3 linked regions of the Ovis aries genome follow. The protein of the gene in region 3 interacts with the protein of the main gene of each other region in a pairwise test. Links are inferred from orthologs where the notes say so. Each region holds a gene or a part of one and is shown on either strand. Other genes may lie near its edges.

The links.
Region 1: the proteins of GRB10 (region 3) and GIGYF2 interact in a two-hybrid assay, tested with the Homo sapiens proteins (2 studies listed by BioGRID). The link is inferred for Ovis aries from reciprocal best matches to the Homo sapiens genes GRB10 and GIGYF2.
Region 2: the proteins of GRB10 (region 3) and GIGYF1 interact in a two-hybrid assay, tested with the Homo sapiens proteins (2 studies listed by BioGRID). The link is inferred for Ovis aries from reciprocal best matches to the Homo sapiens genes GRB10 and GIGYF1.

Annotation. Positions count from the first base shown.
Region 1 is NC_056054.1:8,170,983-8,175,532, reverse strand, and holds part of GIGYF2 (GRB10-interacting GYF protein 2), read left to right. Parts: intron 1-1,974; coding exon 1,975-2,171; intron 2,172-3,117; coding exon 3,118-3,277; intron 3,278-4,550. UniProt on the Homo sapiens protein: Key component of the 4EHP-GYF2 complex, a multiprotein complex that acts as a repressor of translation initiation. In the 4EHP-GYF2 complex, acts as a factor that bridges EIF4E2 to ZFP36/TTP, linking translation repression with mRNA decay.
Region 2 is NC_056077.1:36,335,878-36,339,617, forward strand, and holds part of GIGYF1 (GRB10-interacting GYF protein 1), read left to right. Parts: coding exon 1-52; intron 53-158; coding exon 159-543; intron 544-623; coding exon 624-743; intron 744-884; coding exon 885-985; intron 986-1,113; coding exon 1,114-1,196; intron 1,197-1,281; coding exon 1,282-1,428; intron 1,429-1,498; coding exon 1,499-1,726; intron 1,727-1,946; coding exon 1,947-2,131; intron 2,132-2,207; coding exon 2,208-2,368; intron 2,369-2,454; coding exon 2,455-2,618; intron 2,619-2,703; coding exon 2,704-3,075; 3' UTR 3,076-3,740. UniProt on the Homo sapiens protein: May act cooperatively with GRB10 to regulate tyrosine kinase receptor signaling. May increase IGF1 receptor phosphorylation under IGF1 stimulation as well as phosphorylation of IRS1 and SHC1.
Region 3 is NC_056057.1:6,103,986-6,108,535, forward strand, and holds part of GRB10 (growth factor receptor-bound protein 10), read left to right. Parts: intron 1-1,065; coding exon 1,066-1,143; intron 1,144-2,775; coding exon 2,776-2,892; intron 2,893-3,705; coding exon 3,706-3,772; intron 3,773-3,977; coding exon 3,978-4,065; intron 4,066-4,550.

The sequences.
Region 1 (4,550 bases), on a different chromosome or scaffold from region 3:
AGTCAAAGATGAATGAGGTGTGTGAGAGGATTTCCGTTCAGTTCAGTCGCTCAGTCGTGTCCAACTCTTTGCAACCCCATGAATCGCAGCACGGCAGGCCTCCCTGTCCATCACCAACTCCCGGAGTTCACTCAGATTCACGTCCATCAAGTCAGTGATGCCATCCAGCCATCTCATCCTCTGTCGTCCCCTTCTCCTCCTGCCCCCAATCCCTCCCAGCATCAAAGTCTTCTCCAGTGAGTCAACTCTTCGCATGAGGTGGCCAAAGTACTGGAGTTTCAGCTTTAGCATCATTCCTTTCAAAGAACTCCCAGGGCTGATCTCCTTCAGAATGGACTGTTTGGATCTCCTTGCAGTCCAAGGGACTCTCAAGAGTCTTCTCCAACACCACGGTTCAAAAGCATCAATTCTTCGGCCCTCAGCTTTCTTCACAGTCCAACTCTTAGATCCATACATGACTACTGGAAAAACCATAGCCTTGACTAGATGGACCTTAGTCGGCAAAGTAATGTCTCTGCTTTTGAATATGCTATCTAGGGTATCCTTAATAGAAAAAGAGTGGAAGTTTTGAGGAGCACATTTGGGAGGGGAGACAACAAATTCAGGCTATGAACATGGAGTCTGAGGTGTTGGTGAGAAATTCAGTAGAGATGGCCAGAGAGCAGTTGAGAGTGAGGGGACTGTAGCTCAATGGGACGAGTTCTGGGCCACAGAGAGAATGAACATTTAAAAGATTACATGCACTGTTAGGAGTGAGAAGAAGTGGACTGAGAACAGTACCTGGGTAATCCCTATTTTTAGAGGGTAGATAGAGGAGCCAGAGAAAAATCTTGGCACGGCAAGAAGAAGAGTGCAGGAAAAGGAAGGAAGGAGAACGTTCCAGTTTAGAATTGGGAAGATAATGTCAGACCTAAGGTTCAGTGATGGGGACTAGGAAAAACCATTGTGTTTGAACACTTTGGGTGAATGCTTATCTTTGGGAGAGAAGCTTTCGGCTGTTGGAAGTGGAAGTTACCTTATAGCTGGTATGGGTGGTGGTGAAGTAGAGAAAGTTGTATAGACGTCACACTGTCCTTTTAAGAAGTCTGTCAAAGAATTTGGAGAAGCTTGTTGTAATTGAACAAACAAGATTTCAAAGAGGAAACTACTGTTGTATCTAATTACTTCCATCCCCCTTTCCTCCTCAAGAGCCTGAGTACTGAGAGGTTAGAAATAGGAACCAAGACAGAACCTCTTTTGTAGTCTTTACTCTTATTGTGAAGAACCTCCTGCTCTGTACGGGTAGACCCAGTGAACTTTTTGTTACCCTGCAGAATGTGTTGAATTATGGTCATTATAAGTCGAAATAGGTAATTATTCAAAGTAATTGCAGATGTTTTTAATAAAGGTTTTTATGCTTCCGTTGTAGCTCAGCTGGTAAAGAACCCGCCTGCAATGTGGGAGACCTGGTTTCCATCCCTGGGTTGGGAAGATCCCCTAGAGAAGGGAAAGGCTCCACTCCAGTATTCTGGCCTGGAGAACTCCGTGGACTGTATAGTCCAAGGAGTCATTAAGAATTGGACACGACTGAGCGACTTTCTCTTTCACATGCTGAGATATGGTGTCTTTGAGGAGATGCAGTGCTGTTTACTGTCTTTACAGCTCAGAGACATGATGTAAAGAAGGGATTGGACTAATTCTGTTTGTTTTCAAGAGGTAGACCTGTAACTATTGGGTAGATACTCTAGTGACACAGTATGGCATTGCAGAAGCCCTTTCTGGGTACGTTTTAATCTTACTTGTTGTCACCCTATGGAGGTAATTCATCATTCTGGGGAGGAATACACACTTCTCCATAAGAAGTAGCAGCAGTATTCATGACATGGTTCACAAATCTGTTGAGCCCATTTAGCAAGCTGCTCAACTTGATGCTTGTTATTCTTTCCAAGAGTCTCTTTTAGAGGATTTTCATCTGTCTACATTTTTTTTCTCTAGAAGTGGTTCCTGATGTCCAGCAGCCCCTGTCGCAGATTCCTGCAGATACAGCCTCTCCGCTCCTCATCCTCCCTCCTCCTGTCCCCAGCCCTAGTCCTGCCCTCCGGCCAGTGGAGACGCCAGTCGTTGGTGCTCCTGGAATGGGCAGTGTTCCCACAGAGCCAGATGATGAAGAGGGTCTCAAACACTTGGAGCAGGTACAAGTCACATAATTCTTTCTTTCCTCGAGAACTGCCATAAAAATTGAAAAGCATTAAATGAATATTCAGAAATGGAACTTTTGTGCACTAGATTTTGTGTACTGAAAAACTTGTTTTTACATCTAGTATTTATTTGTATGAGTAATTGTCTTTCAAGTCATTTCATGCTTTTAAGTTTCTGCTATGTAGTAGTCATTAAGTCAGGTTATTTTTTGCTCTTCTGAGGTTGCCCTGAGCTGTTTCCTTTTCTTTTTTCTTTTTGGAAATTAATGGAATGCCAGAAATGGCAAATACAAGCAGCTGTGGATAGGCACTGTATCGTCTATATTTTTCGCCTGAAGTGTAACAGGGAAAACAGAAATACCATCATACTGATGTCTCTAGAGTTCCCTAACGTTTTTATATACTGCTGCTTATATGTAAGGTAAATGATAGCTTGCTTTCTACAGAGGAAATTCTCTTTCCTTCAGGGTACAGTAGTTGGTGGCAGGAAGTATTGCAGAAAGGAATAAAAACTTGTAAAAGATTTTATTTGTAATGTATTATAATTGAGCTTTTTGATCTATTAGCACATGTTTTTGCAGATTTAGTTTGTATAATTTAGGATTATTTGTTTAAATGGCACTCTTAAGTGTGTTGATAAGATGCTTAGATTTTGATCTGTTCCAGTTTTAGTCTCATTTGAGTTTTCTTGATAATTTTGAAACCTTAAGCAAGACTTGATCCCCCTGAACCTGCCTTAGTTCACAAAGTTTCCCCCTTTGTGAAATGAGGATCGTACCTATTTCATGGCATTATTGGATGGATGAATTGTTGCCTGCTGTGTCCTTTGCACAGTGCCTCTCACAGATCAGGTAGTCCAAAAGAGACAGACAGTTGTGTGTACAAGTATTAATTTAGGATCATTTGTTTCCACAGTTCATTTTTTAATTTTTTCTCTTAGCAAGCTGAGAAAATGGTGGCTTATCTCCAAGACAGTGCACTAGATGATGAGAGACTGGCATCAAAGTTGCAAGAACACAGAGCTAAGGGACTCTCAATTCCACTGATGCATGAAGCAATGCAGAAGTGGTATTACAAAGATCCTCAGGGAGAGATTCAAGGTAGGTTGTTCCATTCTCCTCTAAGTAGAGAAGTATGCCATTACCTCCAGATTCTCTAAGATGGTGATTCAGTCGTTCAGTCACTCAGTCGTGTCCAACTCTTTGCGACCCTGTGGACTGCAGCATGCCAGGCTTCCCTGTCCATCACCAACTCCCGGAGCTTGCTCAAACTCAAGTCCATTGAGTTGGTGATGCCATCCAGCCATCTCATCCTCTGTCATCCCCTTCTCCTCCTGCCTTCAGTCTTTCCCAGCATCAGTCCTTCCAGTGAATATTCAGGACTGATCTCCTTTAGGATGGACTGGTTGGATCTCCTTGCAGTCCAAGGGACTCTCAAGGGTCTTTTCCAACACCACAGTTCAAAAGCATGGTGGTTATTTAACATTAATTTGTGTAATTGTAGAACAAAAGTCAGCGCTACAGGCTTTCTTCTTTTGTATAGATGTTTCATTAATAGGTTCCCTCCTTAGTACTTTACATTTCAATGATGGGAGGGAGTCCAGTGAAAATAATTTGAATACAAGGCAGATTGTGATCACTAATATGATGGGGCGGGGAATAGTCAGTATACTTAAGACTCCCTCATTTCTGGCATGCCAGCTATTGACTGGGCAGTTGAGTTTCATACATTCACTGTATTTTAGGCACCTTATTAAAAAAGATGATGGCAATCATCTTGGAAAAGCTTGTTTGAATGTTTCACTGAAATGGAGTTGATATCATAAATGACAAAAGAAATATTTAAAATATTTGAAAAGGGTACCATATTTTAAACTAATTGCTTAAAGTATGTGTATGGTATGTAAGTTAGGTTAGAATGCGGAGAGTGTGTTGTGAAGAATATCTGCTGATTTTTCATTTCTGCATTTTGAAGTTTTTGCTTGTAACCTGAATTTCATTGTTGACTGTTACCTCTCTTTAACATCATAATTTCTTTTCTATCCTCAGTCCCCCTCCCCTGCTTTATTCTTCCTTATAGTATCTATCACTGCATGGCACTGTGTATATTTTTTGATTATCTGAATTTGCATGCCTGTAGAATGTTTTAATTAAAACATATATAGGTATGTATTTTAATTATATTTATTTTGGGATAATTATAGCTTTACAAACAGTTGTGAGAAATAATACAGGGAGTCTATGTACCATTTACCCAGTTTACCCCAGTGGTAACCTCTTGCAAAACTTTAACAATATCACACCCAGGATATTGACACTGATACAGTCAAGATTCAGAACAGGCTCTGAATAGTCTTTAACAGAACAAAAGTTT
Region 2 (3,740 bases), on a different chromosome or scaffold from region 3:
CACGGTGCAGCCCGGAAGTGGTTCTACAAGGACCCGCAGGGCGAGATCCAAGGTGCACAGGGTTGGGGGTGCAGGTGGGGCTCGGAGACTGCACCATCCTCGTCGAGGGCTTCTCTGGCCCACCTCTGTGACCGCCCTGTGCCCTTCCCTTGGCCTAGGCCCCTTCACGACCCAGGAGATGGCGGAGTGGTTCCAGGCGGGCTACTTCTCCATGGCTCTGCTGGTGAAGCGGGGCTGTGATGAGGGCTTCCAGCCTCTGGGTGAGGTGATCAAGATGTGGGGTCGCGTACCCTTCGCCCCCGGGCCCTCACCTCCCCCGCTGCTGGTGAGTGTACCCGCTTTGGCGTGGAACAGGGAAGGGAGGCAGGAGCCCGGCAGAGGGAAGCGGTGGGTGCAGAGCCAGACGGGGGCAAAGCCACGGGGACGCTGTGGCCTCACTCAGGGGAACATGGACCAGGAGCGGCTGAAGAAGCAACAGGAGCTGGCAGCAGCCGCCTTGTACCAGCAGCTGCAGCACCAGCAGTTTCTTCAGCTGGCCGGCAGGTACGGGGGGCTTAGCAGGGCTGGTCAGCAGGGCCCATGCTGACGTGGGCAGGCCCACCTCTCACCTGCTCGCTCCTCAGCAGCCGCCAGCTCCCGCAGTGCATGCTCCGGGAAAAGGCAGCTCTGGGAGACCTGCCGCCACCACAGCAGCAGCAGCTCACCGCGTTCCTGCAGCAGCTCCAAGCTCTCAAACCCCCCAGGTGTGTGGGCCGCCGTCCTCGCTGTGTGCCCGTGGCCAAGCGTGTGTGGCGTGTCTGTACGTGATGGCCCTCGGGTGGTGTGGGTAGAGGGGCAGACAGGAGGTGGCTTCAGGGCGCTGAGCTTCGGTGCTTTCTCCTCAGGGGCGGGGACCAGAACTTGCTCCCGACGATGAACCGGTCCTTGTCGGTGCCAGACTCGGGTCCCCTCTGGGACATACATACCTCAGCCTCACCACAGTCAGGTGTGTGGCCCGCAGCTGCCCTCCTGGCCTGTCCTAGGTCTGGGAGTCCCCTCCACCCCCGACGGCCTCCAGTGGGTTGGGGGGCCGGGGGCTGGAGCTCCCCTCTGCAGCTGCCTTTGCCCCCGCAGGTGGTGAGGCCAGTCTTTGGGACATACCAATTAACTCTTCGACTCAGGGTCCAATTCTAGAACAACTCCAGCTGCAACACAAAGTGAGTGGGCCTCGGGCTGGCGTTCTTGGGTGTCAGGGGCCAGGCCACAGCTGGGACGGCCTGGCATCTGATCTTGACCCTCCAGTTCCAGGAGCGCAGAGAAGTGGAGCTCAGGGCGAAGCGGGAGGAGGAGGAGCGCAAGCGCCGGGAGGAGAAGCGCCGCCAGCAGCAGCAGCAGCAGGAGGAGCAGAAGCGGCGGCAGGAGGAAGAGGAGCTGTTCCGGCGCAAGCAGGTGGGGCCCGGCCTACGCAGGCTCGGGGTGAGGGTCAGGGGGCGGCCCTCACAGCGGCTTCTCTCCCTAGGTGCGGCAGCAGGAGCTGCTGCTGAAGCTGCTGCAGCAGCAGCAGGCAGTAGCCACTGTCCCCGTGCCTCCTGCGCCCAGCTCCCCGCCCCCGCTGTGGGCCGGCCTGGCCAAGCAGGGCCTGTCCATGAAGACGCTGCTGGAGCTGCAGCTGGAGGGCGAGCGGCACCTGCACAAGCAGCCTCCGCCTCGGGAGCCATCGCGGGCTCAGGCCCCCAACCACCGCGTGGTGAGCAGGCTTGCAGGCACCTTCTGCTCAGCTCCCAGGGTGACCGGGGTGGGGGGAGGTGGGGGGGCGGCGCACTAGTCCCTGTCGGACTCCGGAGGCGCTCTCTGCTGTGAGGCCCTCACCTCACCCTGCCTTTGCCACCTGAACGCAGCTCCCCGCTCAGCACCCCTGAGCATGCGCTCTCCTGTGTGGGTCACCCTTGCCTTCCTGCCGTCTGCAGCAGGTCGGGGGCCTGGGCTCCGCCCCCCTGAACCAGTGGGTATCTGAGGCCGGGCCACTGTGGGGCGGGCCCGACAAGAGTGGGGGCAGCAGCGGCCTGGGACTCTGGGAAGACACCCTCAAGAGCAGCGGGAGCCTGGCCCGGAGCCTGGGCCTGAAGAACAGCCGCAGCAGCCCCTCTCTCAGGTGGGTGCCGGGCCACAGGAGGATGGGGAGCGGGCCTCCTGAGGGGACACCTCCTGACTCACCCCATCCCGCGCAGTGACTCGTACAGCCACTTGTCTGGTCGGCCTGTGCGCAAAAAGACAGAGGAGGAAGAGAAGCTGCTGAAGCTGCTGCAGGGCATCCCCCGGCCCCAGGATGGCTTCACCCAGTGGTGTGAGCAGATGCTGCACACGCTGAGCACCACGGGCAGCCTGGACGGTATAGGCGTCACACCTACCCCAGGAGGCTGGGCCAGGGGTTCCAGACGCCATCCCGTGGGTCCTGACCCCCATCCTGCCCCGCAGTGCCCATGGCTGTAGCGATCCTCAAGGAGGTGGAATCCCCCTATGACGTCCACGACTATATCCGTTCCTGCCTGGGGGACACGCTGGAAGCCAAAGAATTTGCCAAACAATTCCTGGAGCGGAGGGCCAAGCAGAAGGCCAGCCAGCAGCGGCAGCAGCAGCAGGTGCGGCTTCACAGAGCCCTGGCTGGAGCGGGTGAGGGCGCCCCGAGTCCCCTGACCCCTCTCTTTCCTCTCTGTTGCCTTGCAGGAGGCTTGGCTGAGCAGCGGCTCCCTGCAGACAGCCTTTCAGACCAACCACAGCACCAAGCTCGGCCCCGGGGAGGGCAGCAAGGCCAAGAGGCGGGCGCTGATGCTGCACTCGGACCCCAGCATCTTGGGTGAGTGTGGAGCGGGGAGGTGGCTCCTTCCTCAGAACCGGGCAGGAGCCTGGGTGGGCGAGTTCAAACCCAGCTTCCCCTGGCTTCAGGGTACTCCCTGCATGGACCTTCTGGTGAGATCGAGAGCGTGGATGACTACTGACCAGCCCGTCCCACCAGCGCCCTGGGCTGTAGGCCAGGGGCAGCAGCAGCGGCTTGGACCCCTGGGTCCCCAGCCTGCAGGCTCCCCACAGGGAGCATAGGAGGAAGCAGGGGCAGGGTCCCCAGCACTTGTTACAAACCACACGATGCACCTTAACTCACCCACCACGAGGCACTTTACAGATTGAGGGGGGAAGGGTTTTGTTTTTGTTTTTTTGGTTTTAGTTTTAAACGACATTGAAGGAAACATAGGAGAGACAAAAAAAATGGTTAAAAAGTAGACTCTAAGCACTCCCTTTCCCTTTGTCGGATAGTGGGAGTGATAATGGAAGATCCACAGAGGTGTTTTTTTTTTTTTTTTTTTAAGAAAAAAGAAAAACAAACAAAAAAAATGGTTAGGAGACTGAAAGTAAAAACACACTGTTATTTGGGGCAGTGGGGACATGGGCCCCACGGACCTGTCCTGCTTGGCCCCCGAGGCTGCACTTACCCTCCCCGCCCCACAAGGTGGGCCACTGGGGTAACTGGAAGCTGGGGCGCCAGCAGTTTGCACAGCGAGGCCCCCTCAAGCCCCGCCAGCCGGACCCGCTGTGAACGGCCCCCTTGTGCTGTGACTGTGGCAGAGGTGTCTGGGGCCGGGGGGCCTGGCCCGAGTAGCCCCTTGGCTTTGCTGCTTCGGGGAAAGTTGCACAAATGCGCGAGGCCGCCTCAGCGCCCCAGGCAGCCACCCTGCGCCGGCTGACGGAGTGAATGGGAGAGGGCCTGC
Region 3 (4,550 bases):
ATGCTGAAGCTCCAATTCTTTGGCCACCTGATGCAAAGAATCAACTCATTAGAAAAGACCATGATGCTGGGAAAGATTGAAGGCAAAAGGAGAAGTGGGTGGCAGAAGGTGCAATGGTTATATAGCATCACCAACTCAATGGACATGAATTTGCGCAAACTCCAGGAGAGAGTGGAGGACAGGAGCCTGGGAGTCACTAAGTTGGACATGACTTAGTGACTGAACCACATCTCAAATGTTTGTTTTGATCTGTTCTCTCTCCTCCTGTCTCACTGGGGTGTGACTGTATCTATGGTAGACATTTTCATCATGTTCCAAATATGTTAGCTTCAGAAGTGAGTACTTACTGCTGGTCCTTGAGCTGGAAATGAGCTCCCATCCGTGAAGAACAGTGAAGAGGAAGATGCAGCCCGCTGGATTCCTCTTTCCTCTTCCTTTTTTCTTCTCTCTGTGGTTTGAAGGTGTAACTGAGGAGTGCAGGTTGAAACGTCAGGAGTGTAGGAGGCTTTGCAGGATGCTCAGTGCTTATTGACTGAGGAAATAAAGCCCAAACTGCTGAGCTGGTTGGGCAGGGAGGCTGGTGGTTAAGAAGAGCACTGGTTTGGAAGCAGGATTGTACATTCAGAACCTGAATCCTTACTTTACCATGACCTTGAGCAACTTGCTTCACTTGCTGTGTTCTCTTGTTTGTGAAATGAGGATAAAGTACATATTTCATAAAATGGAGAGGATTAAATAAAAGAGCAGCATAAAGCACTCAGAGCTTTGCCCATAGCAACATTTAGTAAGGCTAATTGTTCTTGCTAGTCCTTATTATGTTGTTACTTCTTTGACCACTTCCTGCCCACCCAGCCCCCCCAGACAGATAGTGGTAACTGACTGTGGAGCATTGGTGGTGGCAGGCCCAGAGACAGGGCTCTGTTGGGTGTTTATTCTTAAGTTCACCCAATTGTCGCCCATTATTCTGTATGAGTGTGGCTCTTGAGTGCCAAGGGTTTGCCCCGTGTGGGGCTTTAGGGCTCCGGATGCCCTGGTGACTGACTCTGGCCCTCCTTACCTCTTCAGTATGGGATGCTCCTTTACCAGAACTACAGGATCCCACAGCAGAGGAAAGCCATGCTGTCCTCCTTCTCGACTCCAGTGGTAAGTCAAGCTGCGCCTCTGAAGCCACATTGCTGTTCAGCTGCTGCATCAGCACGGGCTGTGGGCATCTTTTCTCAGATGAGGCTGCCCGGAGGAGCCAGAATATCCTACCAGCGTGCATTTCCCAGGAGATGGGCTTTGTCGTCTGCAGTGTGACTGCTGGGAGCAGATCCCTGTCTACCCTCTCCCCTTTCCCACATCTCCCTGCAGTGTTGCTTTGGTGAATGGCTCCCACTGAGAGCTCCATTCCAGTGTTCAGAAATGTTGACAGCAGCGCCCACGTCTACTGAGGAGCTGCCTTCATTCACCGCCTTCACTTCTGTCCATTTCAGCTGTGGGTCCATGGTGCTGTTGACCATGATTCTTGAGTCCTTGTGAAAACTGAGATTGTAGTGAGTCTTCCTGGGATCTCAGGATGGACTTTATGTCCCAGAGGTGTAGAAACACTTCATCCTTCCCAAATACGATCTTAACACATTATTGACTGGGCGATGTATCAACACATCTTTTGTTATCCAAATGTTTATTGGCCAGGAGTGTCAATACATTTTTAGAAAGTGATCGAATTAACATCACTGTGCGAAGTTGTTAGATCTTAAAATTGGTCAAAGGGTCATGATACAGTTTGGATTATTGTTATCACTCGTGTTTTGCTCCATTAGGTTTTTGTAGCACCTTGTGCATATTATAAATGTGAAATTTTCAAAAATGACGCATCGAGAAATTTTGAGTGAAAAATTTTTTTGGTGAATTTTATGCAGATATTTTCTCTGAGTGTCTGAATGACATATATGTTAGTGTCTCAGAAGACGATAGTTCTTCAGAATATAGTTCTGCTTCCGACTGTGAATATCAGACCAACAAAAAGACAGAAAACCTTAGTGATTGATTCTGAAGCAGAAAGTGAAAATGAAGCTCATGGTGCTGGAGAAAACTTTACAAGGGTAACTGTTGAATGTGACAACCTGCAAAATGTTAGTGAAATAACAGAATTAATGTTTTAGCCAGCCAAAATAAAAATCTTCACCAACCACAGGTGTTAGTTTCTGCAGAAATCCCCCAGTTGATAATGAGTTAACAATCTCTGGATGTCCATTCCTCAGAGATGTCAAAGTACCCACAGAAGCGGTGCCCGTGTTTCTGTGAACTAACTTACCTGAGAAGGGATTTGGCTGCTGGTGAGGGCTTGCTCGCCTTTGATGTTAGCATTTCTTGGATGAGTTTTTGTGGGGTTTTTTGTAATGGAGGAGAAGGAAAGAATGACTTTATTACTTTGCCAGGCAAAGGGGGACCACAGCAGGCTAGGTCCTCAAGAACTGTGCTCTCCTTTTAATTCACATTAGAGACCCTGTGGACGACCCCACGGGTGGACACCAGTGGCCTCACCAGCAGCTTCCAAATATCTTCAGAGAATTGGAAGGTTTCTTTCCTCTTCTTGAGAAAAACCAAAGCCATTTTTCATCCCAGGGCCCTTCAGACACTGAGTGTTCTGTCCGATTCTTGGCGGGGGTGTCCTTGCCTGTCCCTTTGCTGCCCCTCCCTGGGTCTGCACAGCTCTCCCACGCGGCGGTTCCCACCTGCTGCTCCGCTTGCTTCTCTGCATCTCAAGAATCCACGGCCTCTCCTTTGCAGCGCAGCGTCTCTGAGAACTCCCTTGTGGCAATGGATTTCTCTGGGCAAACGGGAAGAGTAATCGAGAATCCAGCTGAGGCCCAGAGCGCAGCCCTGGAAGAAGGCCACGCCTGGAGGGTAAGGCTGTGGCCCGGCCCCACCCCTGGTCTGCCCCAGAGAAATGGCCCTGTGCTGGCGGCAGGGATGCGGTGCGAGGGAGGAGGGGTGGCTGTGAGTTCTCGCCTGCAGGAGGCTGTGGCTTGCCTGGGCTCCTCCACGCCCCCGGCACCTGGCCACCCCCACGGGCCGTCCCTGGGCTCCCATGGAAGGAGGGGCAGGAGCAGAGCCCTGAGGCCCCGTGGCCCGCAGCCCTGTCCCTGCTGATGTATCCTCAGGGCCTCTGGGGAAAGCGCTGGGCCAGGCGTTCCCATCGCAGCTCAACCGCTGACCAACCTCCCACCCTTGAACAGTCTCTTTACTCTGAGACTCAAGTTCCAAATCTCCAGATGGAAGAATTTCGCTCAACTTCCAAGCTTTTCTGAGCTTTCAAGGCAACTCTGGCTCAGAGAGCCTCCCCGTTTGGAAAAGGAGAATGTGCCCAAAGCCACAGGCCTGAGTCCCCTGTGGGAGCTCATGGTTTTCTCCTAAGGTGTGTCGGGCACTGTACTGCGTGTCTTCAGTGTGACGGGCGCAGCCCGGCTTCAGTACTGGGATCCTTAGCAATATGCTGGGGTGGGATGCTTCTGGTTTTGCTTTTAACAACTGCGACCCATAGCTGTCTGCCCTCCTGCTCACACGGGAGGGGTCCTTGTGACCACATGGGACTGGGCGGCTGTCGTCCCGCCATCAAGGGCCTTTCACCGGGCCAGCTTCCTGCCGCGGTGTGTCCCAGGTGGCGCGGTGATTGTGTTCGCGGCTTACTTGGCGCTGACGCGGGGATTTCTTTTGCAGAAACGAAGCACGCGGATGAATATCCTAGGTAGCCAAAGCCCCCTCCACCCTTCCGCCCTCAGTACAGGTAAACACGGCATGTTGGCTTGATATTGTTGTACATAAATAACATAAAAGCGCCCCCAGCCCTCCCCAAACCTCACGGCGGGCCTGGCGTGCAGCGCACGCAAGCTGGGACCGCAGGAGTCGGGGCCCCGTGTGGCCCGAGCGTGCTTAGCAAGGCAGCGGCCGTGCACGGAGCCCGGCCTACCCTCCTTCTCTGGTCCCCACAGTGATTCACAGGACGCAGCACTGGTTTCACGGCAGGATCTCCAGGGAAGAGTCGCACCGGATCATTAAACAGCAAGGGCTCGTGGATGGGTAAGGGACGCGTCCCGGGCGGGAGTCTGCTGGGCTCAGCTCCTCAGAGCATCTTCCCGTGTGTGTGTGTGGGGGGGGGGGGGGGGGGGGGAGGCTCAGGAGTATGAAGGTGGTGCAGGATTTGCATGGCTAGGAAGTGGACAGAATGGCAGTCCGTTTGTCCAGACCCCATAATCCTCCTCCACCTATTTGATGCGGTTGGAACAGCCAAAGAACACACTCTAATTAATAAGGCAGTAGGCGAATGGAAAGGTGGCTTTTTGCCTATACCTTTTACTTTATGCATTGTATCTTTGACTTTTGCCCCAACTACCCCAAACCTCAGTGGCTTAAAGCAGCGAAGCTGTATGCCCTGTTCACAGTTGGTGCAGGTTGGGTGGCTAGCCGCACTGGGGCCTGAAGAGCTGGGGCCAGGACGGCTGCACTAACATATCCAGTGGCCAGTGCTGCTGTGGATGGGTGATGCGGCTGCCGGGTGCAGGCCT